2 linked regions of the Struthio camelus genome follow. The protein of the gene in region 2 purifies or fractionates together with the protein of the main gene of each other region. This does not show direct contact. Links are inferred from orthologs where the notes say so. Each region holds a gene or a part of one and is shown on either strand. Other genes may lie near its edges.

The links. Proteins that work in one complex are often made in the same cells at the same time.
Region 1: the proteins of NPM1 (region 2) and PDCD11 purify together in Homo sapiens (affinity purification with mass spectrometry; 3 studies listed by BioGRID and IntAct, with this or other methods). This does not show direct contact. The link is inferred for Struthio camelus from reciprocal best matches to the Homo sapiens genes NPM1 and PDCD11.

What each region holds. Positions count from the first base shown.
Region 1 is NC_090948.1:15,173,277-15,180,530, reverse strand, and holds the start of PDCD11 (protein RRP5 homolog), read left to right. Parts: upstream 1-4,251; 5' UTR 4,252-4,391; intron 4,392-5,418; 5' UTR 5,419-5,428; coding exon 5,429-5,530; intron 5,531-6,167; coding exon 6,168-6,302; intron 6,303-7,254. UniProt on the Homo sapiens protein: Essential for the generation of mature 18S rRNA, specifically necessary for cleavages at sites A0, 1 and 2 of the 47S precursor. Directly interacts with U3 snoRNA. Involved in the biogenesis of rRNA.
Region 2 is NC_090954.1:20,056,176-20,063,719, reverse strand, and holds the start of NPM1 (nucleophosmin), read right to left. Parts: upstream 3,017-7,544; 5' UTR 2,858-3,016; coding exon 2,794-2,857; intron 1,857-2,793; coding exon 1,777-1,856; intron 1-1,776. UniProt on the Homo sapiens protein: Involved in diverse cellular processes such as ribosome biogenesis, centrosome duplication, protein chaperoning, histone assembly, cell proliferation, and regulation of tumor suppressors p53/TP53 and ARF.

The DNA of each region.
Region 1 (7,254 bases), on a different chromosome or scaffold from region 2:
CTCCAGAAAGGTGCAAAACACTTGGCCTTGATGTGGCATGATACGCTCCAGGTTGGACAAGCAACACACAATCCATTATAAGGGTTTAATATCAGCAAGAAGTAAGCCATTTTCTTTCTGGCTGTTACAAGCCTCTCCTGCACAGCTAACAGAAACAGTTACTTTTGCAAGAGAGGCTTCTAACAGAAAAAACTTAAATACCCTATTTAATAGCTGGGCTCCAGCATCAAGCGCTGCAATTCATTGTTTTGGTCCTCTAACTCCCTCACCCCCAATCTTTCAACTAAGGTGACTAAAGCAGTGCAAAGCAAGACTCTGAGCTGAATGCTGAGGAGTCACTGCACTATATAATAGATAACATTGAGATTAGGAATCGAAGTAATTGATAAGCAAAAGAAAACAAGCACCTCCATATAATCAATCTTTTGTCCTCCCTGGGAAAAGGGGGCACGCACACTAGATTTGGGAGGTTTTTCCATCCAAAGCAAACAGGTTCTGTAATGAGAAGTTGCACAATACAGACAACTGAGGCAGAAGGAAATCCTATTAATCTGCATCAAATTGCTATGAGCGAAGGAGCCATGGTTTCCTTTTAAACTTTTAAAACACCAACTTAGAATCCAGAAATTGGGAGCAGCCAGGACAACCAGTAAGCCATTTGGAAGCGTGGAGATGCTTCGATCAGCTGCAAGCTCTGTGCTTGGTAGGACATTCATGCTGCTGAAGTCTCTCATGGCCACGTTGCTACTGGTGCTCAGGACATTTTAGGATGATATATCATAACGGCAAAAGAGTTAAGTCAGGCTAGCCGTGACAAGAATCAGCTACTTCACTACAGATAAATATTTTTGACAGAGGAAAAAAAAAAAAAAGCTAAGTGTCACAATTATGCTCCGTTTCACCATTTCATATTTTAGATAAAACAAGTCATTGTATATATTTTATTAGACTAGCCATAACAGGACATCAACTTCTGTTACAATGATGGGAGGTTCAGCCATGCCAGCAACCTGCCAACAGAAGAGAGATCAACCATAGCAAGTCTTGCACTGTGGTACTAGTGACCAAGCGTCCCTCTCCCTAAAGGCCAAACAATACTAGTTAAGAGCGAGCAAGCAAGCTTGACCATACCCAAGACAAAAATGACAGATATTCTTTTAACATGCTAAGCTTATTAGTTTCCAGTTACTGCAGATTATAAGGACAGCCCACAGTTTCTTTCAAAACGCCATTTCAGTGGGAATTTTGTATTTGAAAGTGGACTCTACTATTTGCCAGTATTTTGTAACACTTGTTTGTTGCTATACCAGAACGTAGAAGTCTGCTAAGCTTTATCAGATTTAGTCGCATGGACCTTCTTTTTAACATGCTCTAACTCACAAGTCAAATGCTTATGTTAAGAAATAAGAAGAATAGCCACCCATGCAGGCTTAGTTCACCCTTCCAGGGATTCACTACGTTAGTCTAAGCACTGTTCTATAGGACTCTTCCATAATCAGGTGTGCAGGGTATATAGTTCCTTTACTCTGTTTAAAGCAAGGTTTGAAGAGAATGTATTAATCTCTTCTTGGAATTCTCCAATATCACTAACAAACAAGTCCTCAAATATTACTTCATTACTTCTATACCCAATAAAGTGACAGGTTAGCCCTATTTTACAGCAAACGTCAGGCTAGAGGCACTGTTGTTTTAGGCAAAGCCCGAGACACCTAGCTGCAACCCCCTTCCATTCCCCCTTTCTTGCTTGCTCTTCCTCCCCCTCTAACATCTCTAACCCTCTTTACCGTTCCAGAAGAGTAACAATCCTGGTAACCCATAATTTCCACATGCCCCATTAGCAACCAACTTCTTTCAAAATACTCCAAAGCAAACTGACTTTGTATTTACCATTTTAAACCTCAACTGAACCATGAGGTTCCTGTGCCTACACGTCTATCTCTAATCATATTTTGTTAGCAACTCATCCTTCCTCACTCCTTCTCCTTGGACTGGCATTGAATCATTTTGGTCCTGGAAGAACACCAGCCACTTACCATTTACTTTTCTGCCACAGCAGGAGTTTTCTTTTTAGGCCTAAGCTTGAAGTATAAGATGAGCATTGCAATGCTTGTATACGTCGCTATTACATACTGAAAAACATAAAAGTTTAGTTTCAGGCTAAAACCCCCCAAAACACCATTATGCTAGACTACAAAAGTTAATTTACATAATACATACATTCCTCCTGCCTGTGATGGTATAGGAATTGAAGTATTTCTGAAATCCAGTGAACTGGTGTTGAGATCCTGAGTCATGGCCTGCCATGGTCACTTGTCCTAACAAGCAATAAAGTTAATGAGTTTTACAGTGAGTTGCGACAGGATGACTACATAATTGTTTTAAACTCTACACTGAACTTAATACTTCCCTTGTCAAGTATTAAGTCTGCTCTCAGGACATTCAACAGACACTAAAAATACATAAGGGGTAGACATATTCAGAGCACTTATATCTTAAAATACAATGCCACGCAAGTGACATGAACGCACACATGGAAGTGAGGGGTTCTGGACAGAAAGATTTATGATTTTCTGAATTCATTCGACTGAGTTTAAGCATGGAAAAAAAAAAATCAGTTTGATGAAGAGGTAAGGGAAAATTCTTTAAAATACTTACAAAAGAGAGAACTGCCAGTCCTGCCTACAATCATTCAAAAGAGGCAACCTTCTACTGGTTGTTCAGGAATTTGCAATACCTAATCAAGATAAATCTTCACTAGTTCAGCTATGACAACTATATATCAAAAACCGGTTGACAAAATTGGGACTAGACCCCTGCTACATTTTGTGATTCAAAATGCAGTTTTGCAACTCTTTTATGCTGTCTATGACGGTGCAAGCTGTCAATGAAAACAGCCCTGCTCGCAGTTGCACGTTTCCACTGCATCTTTTGTGCCCACCCTAAACACTCATAGGCTTGGCTAAAAAAAAAAATATATATATATATATATATATTTTGCTGGTTAGTTTTCTGCTAGAGCACTGAGTCAACTGAGCTGGCTACCCAGCCTCAGAGCATTACACAGCACTGTGAAGTGCTTTCACAGGCACACCAAAACCACCAAGTACACGAGAACACACTTTTGAATTTTGTCTGTCTAGATGAGAGTTTCAGATCCTCTGTGAGGAGCTGGTTAACGTGACAGTAAGAAGATTAGCATATCAATAATATACATTTAGAATCACAGAACAGCTGAGGTTGGAGGGGACCTCTGGAAATTGTCAGGTCCAACCCTCTGCTCACAACAGGGTCAGCTAGAGCAGGTTACCCAAGACTGTGGCCAGAGAGGTTTTGAAAATCTCCAAGGATGGAGACTCCACAACCTCTCCGGGCAGTCTGCATTCAAACACCCTCAGAGCACAAAAAAAAAAAAAAAAAGTTGTTTCCTTATGCTTAAAGATACATTTTGGTTTTAAAATATATTGAGGATAAATATTCGTTATTTGCTAACGCAGCGCAGAAGCGGTACGCGTGCCATAGGGTTACGCGCCGAACCAGGCCGAGGGGCGGCACCGCTCGCAGGAGAGGGCGGCGGGGAACCTCCGCAGCAGGTTCCCCGTCATCAACGCAACTGCTGCACCAGCCCGACCCAACGGCGCAGCTCCAGGCCGCTATCAGGCCGGCCCCCCTGCACGCACCCGGGCTCATTACCCCACGCCGCCCGCGGACGTTAGGTAAGTAAAACCCCTCCGTGCTGGCAGCAGGGGTCGGGGGAAGGCAAGGTCACCTGCCCAGGCCGCAGCGGCCGCGGGCGGCTCACCGCCACCCGCCTCCCTCGGGGCGGCCCGATGCCCTTGACCGGCGCCGCCACCCGCCCGCCCGCCCCAGCCCAACGCTGAGGGCCGAGCCGGGCCCGGCTCGCCAGCGCAGGAGGCGCCGGCCCCGACGACCCCTCGGGACGGGACAGCCCCCTCCCCGCGGGGCGCCCCCAAGTACCTGGGCCGGAGCCACCCTTCAGCCGCTGCCGCGCTCTGCCCTTCGCTAACGCCCTCCCACAAAATGGCGGCCGCCAGCACCCCGCCCGCCCGCCGGCGCCTACTGGGCCGCGCGAACCGTACGGCGCCGCGGCGAGAGGCGCGGATTGGCTGCGCCGCCGAGGGGGGCGGTCCTCCTCCCCCTTCCCCTCTGGTTGGCCGCGGGGCCCGCTCGCTGCTTCCGCTTGTCCTTTGCCCTTTGACCCTTGCCCTGCGCGCGGTGTTTCCGGGCGGCGCGGCGGCCGCACGTGCAGCCGAGGGAGGGAGGTGCGGGTGATCTCGGCCCCGGTCTCGGCCCCGGCCCTGGCCGAGTCCCGGCCCGGTCCCGCGGCAGCGAGGGAGGCCCGCGGGCCCCGGAGCGGCAGGAGGCCCCGGGAGGTAAGGGAGCCCCCCGGGGCGGCTGGGTGCGCGGCCGCGGGTGGCTGCGGGAAGGCCTGGGCGGCCCCGGGTTACCGCGCTCTAGTCGGAGCGGTGCCTGCGCTGAGAAGGCAGGAAATCTTTCTGTTACTTTAAGTTTTTAAGAGTGTTTAATCCAAAGTGGAGAGTGTCTTGGGAGTTGGGAGCAGCTCTGAGAAGGGAGGTGCGAGAAGGTGGGACCCCCCCATGCAAGTGGTTCAGTTACCAGCCGTGGAAGATGTCTTACTGCTGCGTGGGTCTTTTGATTAAGCGTGTTTTTGATGAGCTTTAGTTTTATTATGTACTCAACGTGTTTAAAGTAGTTTTTGCATGATTAATAAACCATTTAAAAAGCTCTCAAGCTAACAAGGTAATGCTGATTTCCATGTAAGTGCTGTGGACCGAAGTAATTCACAGAATGTGAACCATGACCTAATAAAAAAGGCTTTTATTTCTTAATTGAAGCAAAGTAAGATTAAGTATAGCTGTTAAGTTAAATACATATAGGCCTATTCCTAGTTTGCACAATGACCAGTGAAGTCATATCACGTTTTAAGGCAGCAGCTCAAAAGTCAGAACGCAGACCAAGCTTACGTATTGTTTTAATCAAGATTTTTCTGCTTAATGACTAAAGCTGGTAATTTCAGCTTGTCCGTTTAGTGCAACAGAGGCCTCTACTGAGAACATATGTCACTAAAATGCTTTTCTGAATATGTGCAGGGTGCTTTAATTGCCTTAGAAAATTGATACTTTAGTCAAGTAGAATTGGGCAGTAGTTTAAAAAAAAAAGGTAGGGGTGCATATGTTTAGATACACCCTCACAACACTTCGGTGTAGTCAAACGTTAGAGACGTTTGGGCGAGAGTTTGGATTTTGCCACTGATTAATTGCAAAGTAGGCATCGGAATTCTTGTTTAGTTTTTGAGTAACTCTTTTGGCTTTTTTTGGTTTTGGTGAGGAGTAGTCATAATAACTGTATATTTAATCTGTTTTGTTGTTTGCCCCCTAGAAGTGTAAACATGGCATCCATGGAAGAAAACTTTCCTCGAGGTGGCACCCAGAAAAAACCCACGGAGGGAAAAACACCTAAGCCAAAGATAGAGCAGGACAACTTATTTGATGTATGTTGTTTGTATGTTCTCAATTAACTCTTCTCAGAGCTCTTCCACTGTCAGACTATAGCCTGAAATCCTTCCTATCACTGACTTCTATAGATTTGTCTGATAGCGTTTGTGTTATTGGGACTTTGGGAAAGACATATCTGCTGACATGCACCAGTCTTGTGACCTTTTAGATGTCTTGGACATCTGGTACTTGGTGAACGTGATGACAAAAACTTCAATCAAAATTACTGATCAGACTTCAATATTTTAACGTTCCACAAGTATCTGATCCTGAGTTGCTCGCTTCTGCGTGGCAGGATTGGACCAATTTGTATAGTGATGCTGGAGTCAGTGGATGTAGGCCAAGTTTGTTAGTCTTTCTATTTAGTGGCAGATGTTGCAAATCACTTTTACCGTATACTTCTGAGCGCTGTAAGTTTTACAGTTTTATAAATGGTCAGCCTCAGCCCAAAAGGAGATATTTTGGAAGACTTGCATGTAGACACATAGGGATTAGCAAGGGTGTTCCCTTTTCTCTACAGTCCTGGTATTTTCCTCTAATTGTATTCCTAGCAGTGGAGTTCTTCCTTAGCACGGTGGTCATCTCTTTGCTTACTTTTGTTATTTTCCTGACTGCTTATATAATCTGCTTTAGATTCATCATGAAGAACAAACACAGAAAAGAAAAGGGAGTCAAGGAGATCAAGGAAAGCAGAAGAAGAAGTTCAAGCCGGACCAAAAAGCCACTTTTAAGGACAGTGTTACGAATTTTGAACCACTCACAGTTGAGGTTTGTGGATAAATGTTTGGTTTTGTGTGCATCTGTTGTTCACAAGAAGATGATGAGCCAGGATCTACATGAGGCTTAAAAAAGGGGGTAGATATTTCTTTTATAATAGCAACCTTGGTAGTTAAGTAACGATAGCTTGGAAGAGGTACTAATTGTAGTGTTTTCAGGGTCTCGGTCGTCGTGTGCTAGAGCCCAGAGAGAGAGAGAGATATATGATGGGCATGTTGTAGTGCATCAGCTGGAGTTTCTGGTAATTCTTAAATCTTTCAAGGGAACAAAAACTTCTGGTCAATCCTAGGTTGGATTCTGGTGTGGAGGGACCTGTCGTATGTGCCAGTGTGAGAACTCTGTATCTGGTTTGGAAAGAAAATCTTATTTCAAAAGTGCTCCATGAATTCTTTGGGTCAAGTGCTGTGGACTGAGAAGTAACGCGTGATTTGTACACCTGTGGTTGTTTCTCTTGAGCGTAGTAAGCCCACCAGTCATTCCTGTCCCCATGACAAGATAGAGGTCTCTTCCTGTCTCTTCCCATACCCTGGCAAGATGTCCAGGCTGTTTTGTGGCTTTCTTATTATTTATAGAGTTTCTAGAACGAGGCCTTTTCTGTTGACTCCTGTCACTTCCGATTATTAAGTACTGATGTAACTGGTGGATCTGTCTTGATTATGGTGTGAGTTAAGGTGGTAAATGCTGGTGAGCTCCTTTTTGCTTTTGGTGTGACATCAAAAATGGAGTATGGGACTGGAACTTGGAGACATGAGTCTGTTCCCAGCTCTGTCACTGACCTGCTGGATAGATTACTTTATCTGTTTTCCCCTAGCGAAGTGGGAGTAATTCTGATCTGTGCAGAATGCATTATAAAATACCAGGTGCAAGTACTATTTCAGCCTTTTTCTTTTTCAGGCTTGGTAGGCATTGCATGTTCTTCCTCATTAAACCTGTAAATAGAGAG
Region 2 (7,544 bases):
CATTTCATGTTCACAGCTGTCATTAAGACCAGGCATTTAAGAAAACCATCACATGCCACTTTCTACCTCCACATACATCAATCCTCCTCCTCTTTCACTTTTATCCTTTTTTCTATCTCATACCAAGCCCCCTGCCACACTTGCGTAACTGACAGGTATGCATCTTTATTCATCTAGTTTTATCAAGTTCATAGAGCACAGTCACCAAGTATTCACTAGCTTCATACCTGAGCTTCCAAAAACTCCTTGCTCTGCTTACCATGTCAATTTTTCTTTGTTTCTAGCTATGTCCAATCCTTTCAGAAATTCCCAGTTTGTCACATGTTATTTCAACTTTCTTGTCTCTCCGACAGGTTACCTCCCTTTGACTTTAAAAGGCAGTTTTCTGAATTAGACCTTTTCTCTCACAACCTCAAAAACTAAGTACTGATGCTGTAAGTCCATCAATTTGCCTCATCCTCCATGAAGAGGTCACAGCAACCGGAAGAGACGGTAATTTTCAAAACTAGGAACTTTGGATAAGCCCACACAACTGAGGTTATCATTCAGTGGCTCATTTCATGTGTGCTACAAACAGGCAGGCATGAGAACAATCCACATCGACTTGCCCTACCCATACTTTACAGTATTCTTCCCTCAAGAGAGATTCTAAAAGGCCATTAAGTACAAAGTGGTCACCGTCAAGTCCAGATTGTGTTTTTCATAAACTGCAAGGACTCTATAAACATAGTTCACACAATACTACAATATTCAAATTAACATCATAAGTGTTATGTATTACTTTGAATGAGTTTTAACTCAGGCAGCCATTGTTATCCTGGACTCCTGTAGGAAGCACTCTAGAATCCTAAAATTCACTTATTTAGAAGTGTCATCAAGACATCTCTCTACATTAAATGCGACTGCAATGTAATGTGATTAAATACACATGCTATTAAATGCTGGACTAAAGTACACAGATGTGACAACGTTTAAATCCCTTCCCTGTGAAGTTGTGTCACGTTTGTGCTAACCAAAACAGAAGTCGCATGCTTAGCCCAGAGTAGAGAAGTGCAGTGTCCTTCTTGCTGGGACAGCAGAAAGAACTAAGGACATATTTAAGAACTCTCAATATGCACACCTTGATTTCAAGGAGTATCCTGTTCAGTGAGCAGCTGCTCTGTCTGATTAAATGTATGAATCAAAGACAGTGTTTCCCATAACATCCTTAAAAAGAGGACAACACTACCAAAAAACGTATCAGAACATAAAAGCCTTTTCCCCTCCAAATTAGATGCAACATTAGCTGCTGATTGGGGGAAAAAGGCACTGGTATTATAATGCTTGGGGAACACAAAGAAAAAGTTTTCAAAGTAAAGTTTCCCCAGTCCGCACCCATCTGTGAAAAATATAAATCCAATCCCTGCTTTTGCTCCTGCAGCATCTAAACCGTTGCACCAGAGATACCAGAAGACATAGGCCTGCCCTCATCCCTTTTAGCAAATTTACTGACCTATTGTGAACTCATTTTTTTTAAAGAACTTTTTTTTTAAAACCTGGTGTCACTTGCTATAAGCCATGAAACAACAATAGAGAATTTTCAAGGTAAAACGGGATGTTCAGTTCCTAATAAGAGGTTATCTAGCAAACTGACTCAAAACACTTGCAAATGCCAGACAGAACAGATGTTTAAGGAACAAATTTACATGTTACAAAAGCTCACTTTTCATAACGTAGCATATTATTACTCAAAAAACAAAATTCAAGCTTGCACCTTAAAAAGTAGATAATACTTGCCGTTCTCAAAGATAACTGATGCTCATTTTCTTCATCATCTACCTTGAACTGATACTCCTTGTCTGCTTTAAGCTCACAGCCTGTAAAAAAAAAAAATCATTAAGTTGCAAGCAAACTATTGTTTTCAGGAACAGGTACTTGCTAGCCACTTGTTACTTAGAAGTGTAATGCTTTCTGCTTTATGGTGCTGCATTTGCATAGAAAACCAACCCCACTGCATGCGTGCAAAGAAACTCAAGAGAAACGCGTAGGGAGGGGAAAACCCCAGGCGAGTCCCGGCCCATGGCCTACCACGCAGCTCCTACCCGCAGCGTCAGCCATTACACTTCGTCCAAGACCAGCCGCTACAAAACCAGCGGCTTCCAGCGCCGCTGCGCACTGCCCGCGCTGCCGCCGGCCATGTGCCACCCCCGGCGAGGCGAGGCGTGGGGCGGGCGGGTCGGCCGGCTTCCCCTCGGGCCGGCAGCGGGCAAGGCGGCCCGCCGCCCTCCACGTGCTCCACCTCCCGCCGCGCCGCCATGTGCTCGGGCCGCCCGCCGGCTCCGCGCCGCCCGCAACGCAACGTGCCCGCGTCCCGAAAGGGACGAGCGGCCGGGCGAGCGGCGACCGGGCCGGGCGGCGGGGGCGCGGGCCAACAAAAGCCAGCCCCCGCCAGGCCGCCGCCGCCACGTGCCAGCGGCCCGCCACGTGGGGCGCGCGCGCCGGCCGAACGCGCGGCTAACGGACGCCGGCGCGCGGCTAACGGACGCGCGGCCAACGGACGCCGGCGCGCGGCCCACCGAGGCCGGCGCCCCCCCCACGGTGTTTCCCCCCCCCCCCCGCGGCGACCGCCGAGGGCCGCAGCAGGCCCGCGGCTCCCATCGGGCCTCGCCGCCGCTGCCAGCCCGCCCCCCCTCCCCCCGCCGCCGCCGCCCACCCGGCCCAGGCGGGGAGCGGAGGCCTAAGGGAGCGGATGGCGGCCGTCAGGGGCCGGGGCCGGGCGAGGAGGGGAGAGCGGGGCGCCGCGGGGGCCGTTACCGAAGAGAAAGGTCTGCGGGCGCAGGGGGCCCATGCTCTCCATGTCCATGGCGCTGTCCTCCATCTTCTCGGGCCTGCTCGGGCGGGAGGCGCGGGGGCGGGATGCGGTGCTGCGGGCGGACGCGCACTAAAGGAAGCCGCGCGCCCGCCCACTCCCAGATATAGCCCGCGCGCTCTCGCGAGAGCGCCGCGCCGCGCCCCGCCCCTCCCCGCCGCCGCCGCCGCCCCACTGCGCAGGCGCCGCGCGGCGTTGGGGGGAGGGGGGGGCGGGCGCCCGCGCGCGCGGCCGGCGGGCGGGCTGGGCGGGGGGCTGCGGCGGTCACAAAATGGTGGCGGGGCCGAGGCGGCCGGCGGGTGAGGCGTTGGCCTGCGAACGAAACCTGCCGTCGCCAACGAGGCAGCCGCGCGGTGGCTCGCGTAGCTCCCTGCCGGCCTTCGTACCCGCGTAGGCGGGGGCTGCCGCGCGCCGGCCGCGCAGCCGGGGCCAGGCGGCGGCGGCAGTGTGCGGGGAGCTCCGCCGGGGCCGGCATTTGATGGGATAAAAGCATATAGCCTCACATCGCCCGGGTGTCTGCAGTGACTGAAACGTGTAATACATAACAGCAGTATTCATAAAGGCAGAAAACGAAACAACGAAGAATCGACATGGTTATTTTACAGCGGCGCTTACATGCCAAAATGTGGCGTTCACCTTCTTCCTTAGCCTCCCGCAAAGCTCGCCCCCTCTTTGAAAAACGGTATATATCTACAGCACGTACGCAGTCAGCTTATTTTGGGATGCAAGGTCTCATATTCTGGTGCAGAATACAATTTGTTTTCCAAATGTGAGGTTACTTAAGCCACAGGCTTCCCAGGATAAAGGCCCCGACAGTCACGTTAACATTAAAACTGCTTGGGGAAACTAAGGTTTTGTCAGGTGGATTGCCACAGGATAACTAAAATAACAGTAAGAATGAAATCAGCTTCTGTGTGGAAAAAAAAAAAAGGTACAAGCGTAGATAGTCGTGCTTTTTACCCTGTGACTGAGGATGGGAGATTTGGGCCCTGGGAGGTCACTGTGAGCACCCTCTTCTAGAATCAGAATGGTTTAGTTGGGAAGAGACCTCTGGCATCATCTGGTCCAACACCCTGCTCAACGCAGCACCCCCAAGTCACGTTAAGGGAGGGCTAGTTTGCTACGGTGCAGTAACTAACAAATGCTAGCTACAGCTGATTTGGAAATGCTGATACAAGTAAAAATTATGGGGTTTTTTTTCTGTTTCTCTTCTCAATTTCCTACCAGCTCTTACTCTTTATTTAAATACATGGTGGCACAGTTGTAGGATGTGACAATTAAGGGCTTTTAAGCAAAACCAGAGAAACTAACAGTCATTTTTATTTCTCTTTCTTCTTTTGCATCCTACAGTAGAAACATTGGTTAATTTGCAAACTGTGCATCATATATAGACAGAGAAATAACACACTGGTGGATGTCAAGTCAAAACAAAGTTTTGCCCTGTTTTGAGCCTGGTTTCAGCTCCTACGAAAGCTCTGTGAGCATTCCTGAGTTGCATAACAGGTTTATTGTTCCAGTGGAACATGTATGTGGATATTGTGGGTATGGGACCAGAATCATCTCTCCAGACACTAAGTTCGTGTCAGAAAAAAAAGAACTGTATCAGGGCAAAGACTTTAAGCCAGATGCATCTGTTAATGGGGAACTCATGCTGGGAACAGGGAAGAGGTGACAGGAGCATGGACACTTCTATAACAGGTGTGGGGCACTGCATTTTGCTTCGGCCCATATTCTGCGTTCCTCTTGATGTATTCTTTTTCACAAGTAGTTTTTCCTTCCCTGCTGCATCTTTGTTTCCTAAGAGTTCACTGGCCCACGCAGCTCATTGTACCCTACAGTCGCGTTTGCCACGTGCAACAGTGTTCGCCTCTGAATGTGCCACGGGACACACCATGAACGCTCCTGAGGCAACTGCAGGTAACAGTTAAGAGAACGTAAGTGCGCCCGATCAACATATCTCATTACACGGACATGGAAATGCAGAATTATCTAACATATCACTGATCTGGTACAAGTAAGACTTAATTAGTTAAGTTTGGTACAAGTAAGACTTAATTAGTTAGGTTTGCATCTGTTTTCTATTACAATGCCAAATTTAAGAGCTTGAGAGACATTTTTAACATCAGGAGGGAAAGGATGAAGACAAGTGTTTGAAAACATAAACACCAGGGAGATGCTTTGCTCTGTATGAATGTAAGATAAGGGCAGTCCACAGTTGTGTCTAATCTTATAATTTTGTTTAAGCGTTCATTAGGAGATAGATGGTGAATGAAAACAGGGAAGGTTCTCCACGAGGAGGCACAGTTTCTTTAAATTGGTAACAAAGCCAAAGAAAAGGTGTTGAAGGAGCATAAATCCTCAGGGAGGTGGAGAAAGATTTCAAGGACAATACAGTCTTTTCCCTGTCATTTCTAAGTTCGTGGCTTGGTATTAGAAGGAAGTAGCCTTCTTCGTGGCCTCTGCTACCATGGCACAGCAGACTGAAGAACTGCCACGCCGAAGATGCAGTGTTGCCACTCTTGAGTTTTTACTAGGAGTAATAATTTTGGGCGTAAAGCTCCCATTATCAGCATCCTGAGATTAAAGCCAGGAGGTGAATTCCAAACAGAGAGACAGCCCTCACGACGGTACGGAAAAACTCTAATCTTAAAAAGGGCCCAAGTATCAAAAGATAAACAGAACAAGCTGTCTGTGGACAGAAGAACTGATGCAGGTTGCTTTCCTAGGGACTTGTGTTTCCCAGCTGGTGTCTGATAAGGTGGCATCTCCCCCAGAAACTTCCTGATTAGGGCACTTCAAACCACTCTGTACTGTGTGGTTTCTCTAGTGTCTAGAGATGAACTCACTTTTTTCTGCAGGTCCAAAAAAAGACCGTTTCCCTCACCTGTGCTCAGCCAGCCGTTTGTATGGAACTTGCAGGAATCTGAGACCTCTGGCATTCAGCTGAACGTGGCTCAAACAGCACACCCGAGTCAGTTTTCGGGATAAGAACAGAGCGATCACAAAAGCATCACGGACAATCCTTCCAATTTACTCCTCTTAAAATCTCCTTAGGAAACGAGAGAGGGAACAGTGCTTATTTCATTTTCTGACCTTTAGTTTGGTTCATTTCTTATTATCTTTTAGAAGCAATTAATTCTAAGGGTGGACTTTAACGTAGGAAGAGTGGCAGTTTGGCAGTCCCGGATAGGGAAGGTGCAGGCATCTGCGAAGCAGCAGAGGCAGAAAAGCTCATCGAGTGTGGCAGCTGGTATCACTGGCAGAGCACAGGCATCACTATTTGATCAGCTGTTTCAGCCAAGAGGAGCTGTACTGACACAGATAAGACGTTTGTTTGATTTGGCTTGAAAATCGGAACCGGTATCAAAATTTAAAACGTAGTTTTGGCCCGATCTCAATGGCAAACAGACTGGAGTGGACGGGTGAATAACGCACAGCGACAGCAAAAGAGGCTGCAGCCGTTTGCACGTGCGCTTACCTGATGTAGTGCCAACGGCGGTACCCGACTGCTTGTGCAAACCAGCTGGAAACCTGCTGGGCGCAGCACTCGGCAGCTCGCAGGGCAGCCCGCGCTCGCAGGCCTCCACCCCGTCCTGTCGAAGGCGAACGGCGCAGCCACGGCAGCCCTTGCGCGGACAGAGTCGCTTTTAATTCAATTACAGTTTTCCATTACCAAGGAAATAAATGTGGGAGGAAACAAAGAACAGACACAGAGAGGCAAAACAAGGGTAGGAAGTGGAAGATAGATGCTTTCTGCGTCCCGTTTGGCTCCATAGGGCTTTACAAGGATTGTCATATATCATGACATTTATTATTTCTGTCATGTACTACGACGAGAAGTCCATTACAATATCGATCATTTCACTCTGCTTGAGTCTGCACTATGTGATACTCAGCGTAGCTGAAAAGTGATTTAGAAATAGCTGTACAGGGAGGACTGAGGCAGAAATCGGAGTCAACGTAGTTACCCTTAATAAAATCCTCTTTTTAGTAACCTTTTAGGAAATGGCATTGTAAACCGTGTTACAGCCACAGGACAGTTGCACAGCCAAGCAGTCAGAAGTTACAGGCAGAATTAAGATTTCTTATGCAGCCTTAACTGACACCCTGACATAACGATACAACCTTCAGCTATATTGCCACATACTCCCTTCACAGGATGCTTCCTCCTTTCAGTAGCTAGTAATTTCTGCCCCTGGAAAACTCAGGGCCAAATTTCTAAAAGGCATCAAAGCCCTTGCCCTTCCTTGAAATCAAGAAGCAGAATGCACTTTGAAACTTGAAAATCCAAATCTTTCAACTTAACCTGAAACAACTACCGGCTAGTTATAATAATCAGGTTGGGGCAAAAAGGGGTTGCACAAGGAAAGCCCAAGATAGTTATCGTTAGTATGACAGTATTTTTAGTTTGCTTTAAATGATTGTTACTACTGCCAGCACCTCGGCATCCTCTTCATTTAATTTTGGAGCGCTACAAGTTCTTTTGCAGACACTCTGCAACTTGCGTTAAAGAGCACTAAAACTAAAATTTTGCATAAAATACAGGTTCTGTAAAAACAAGCTAAAATTAAGGCTGATGAAGCATTTTGTTGTGTTTTTGAAAGAGTACAATGGTTGCACTGCTTTGTTTTTTAAAAATCAGATTCTCCTTACCTTCAGTAACAGGTAAACCAGTGTATTCCGCGACTACCAATCT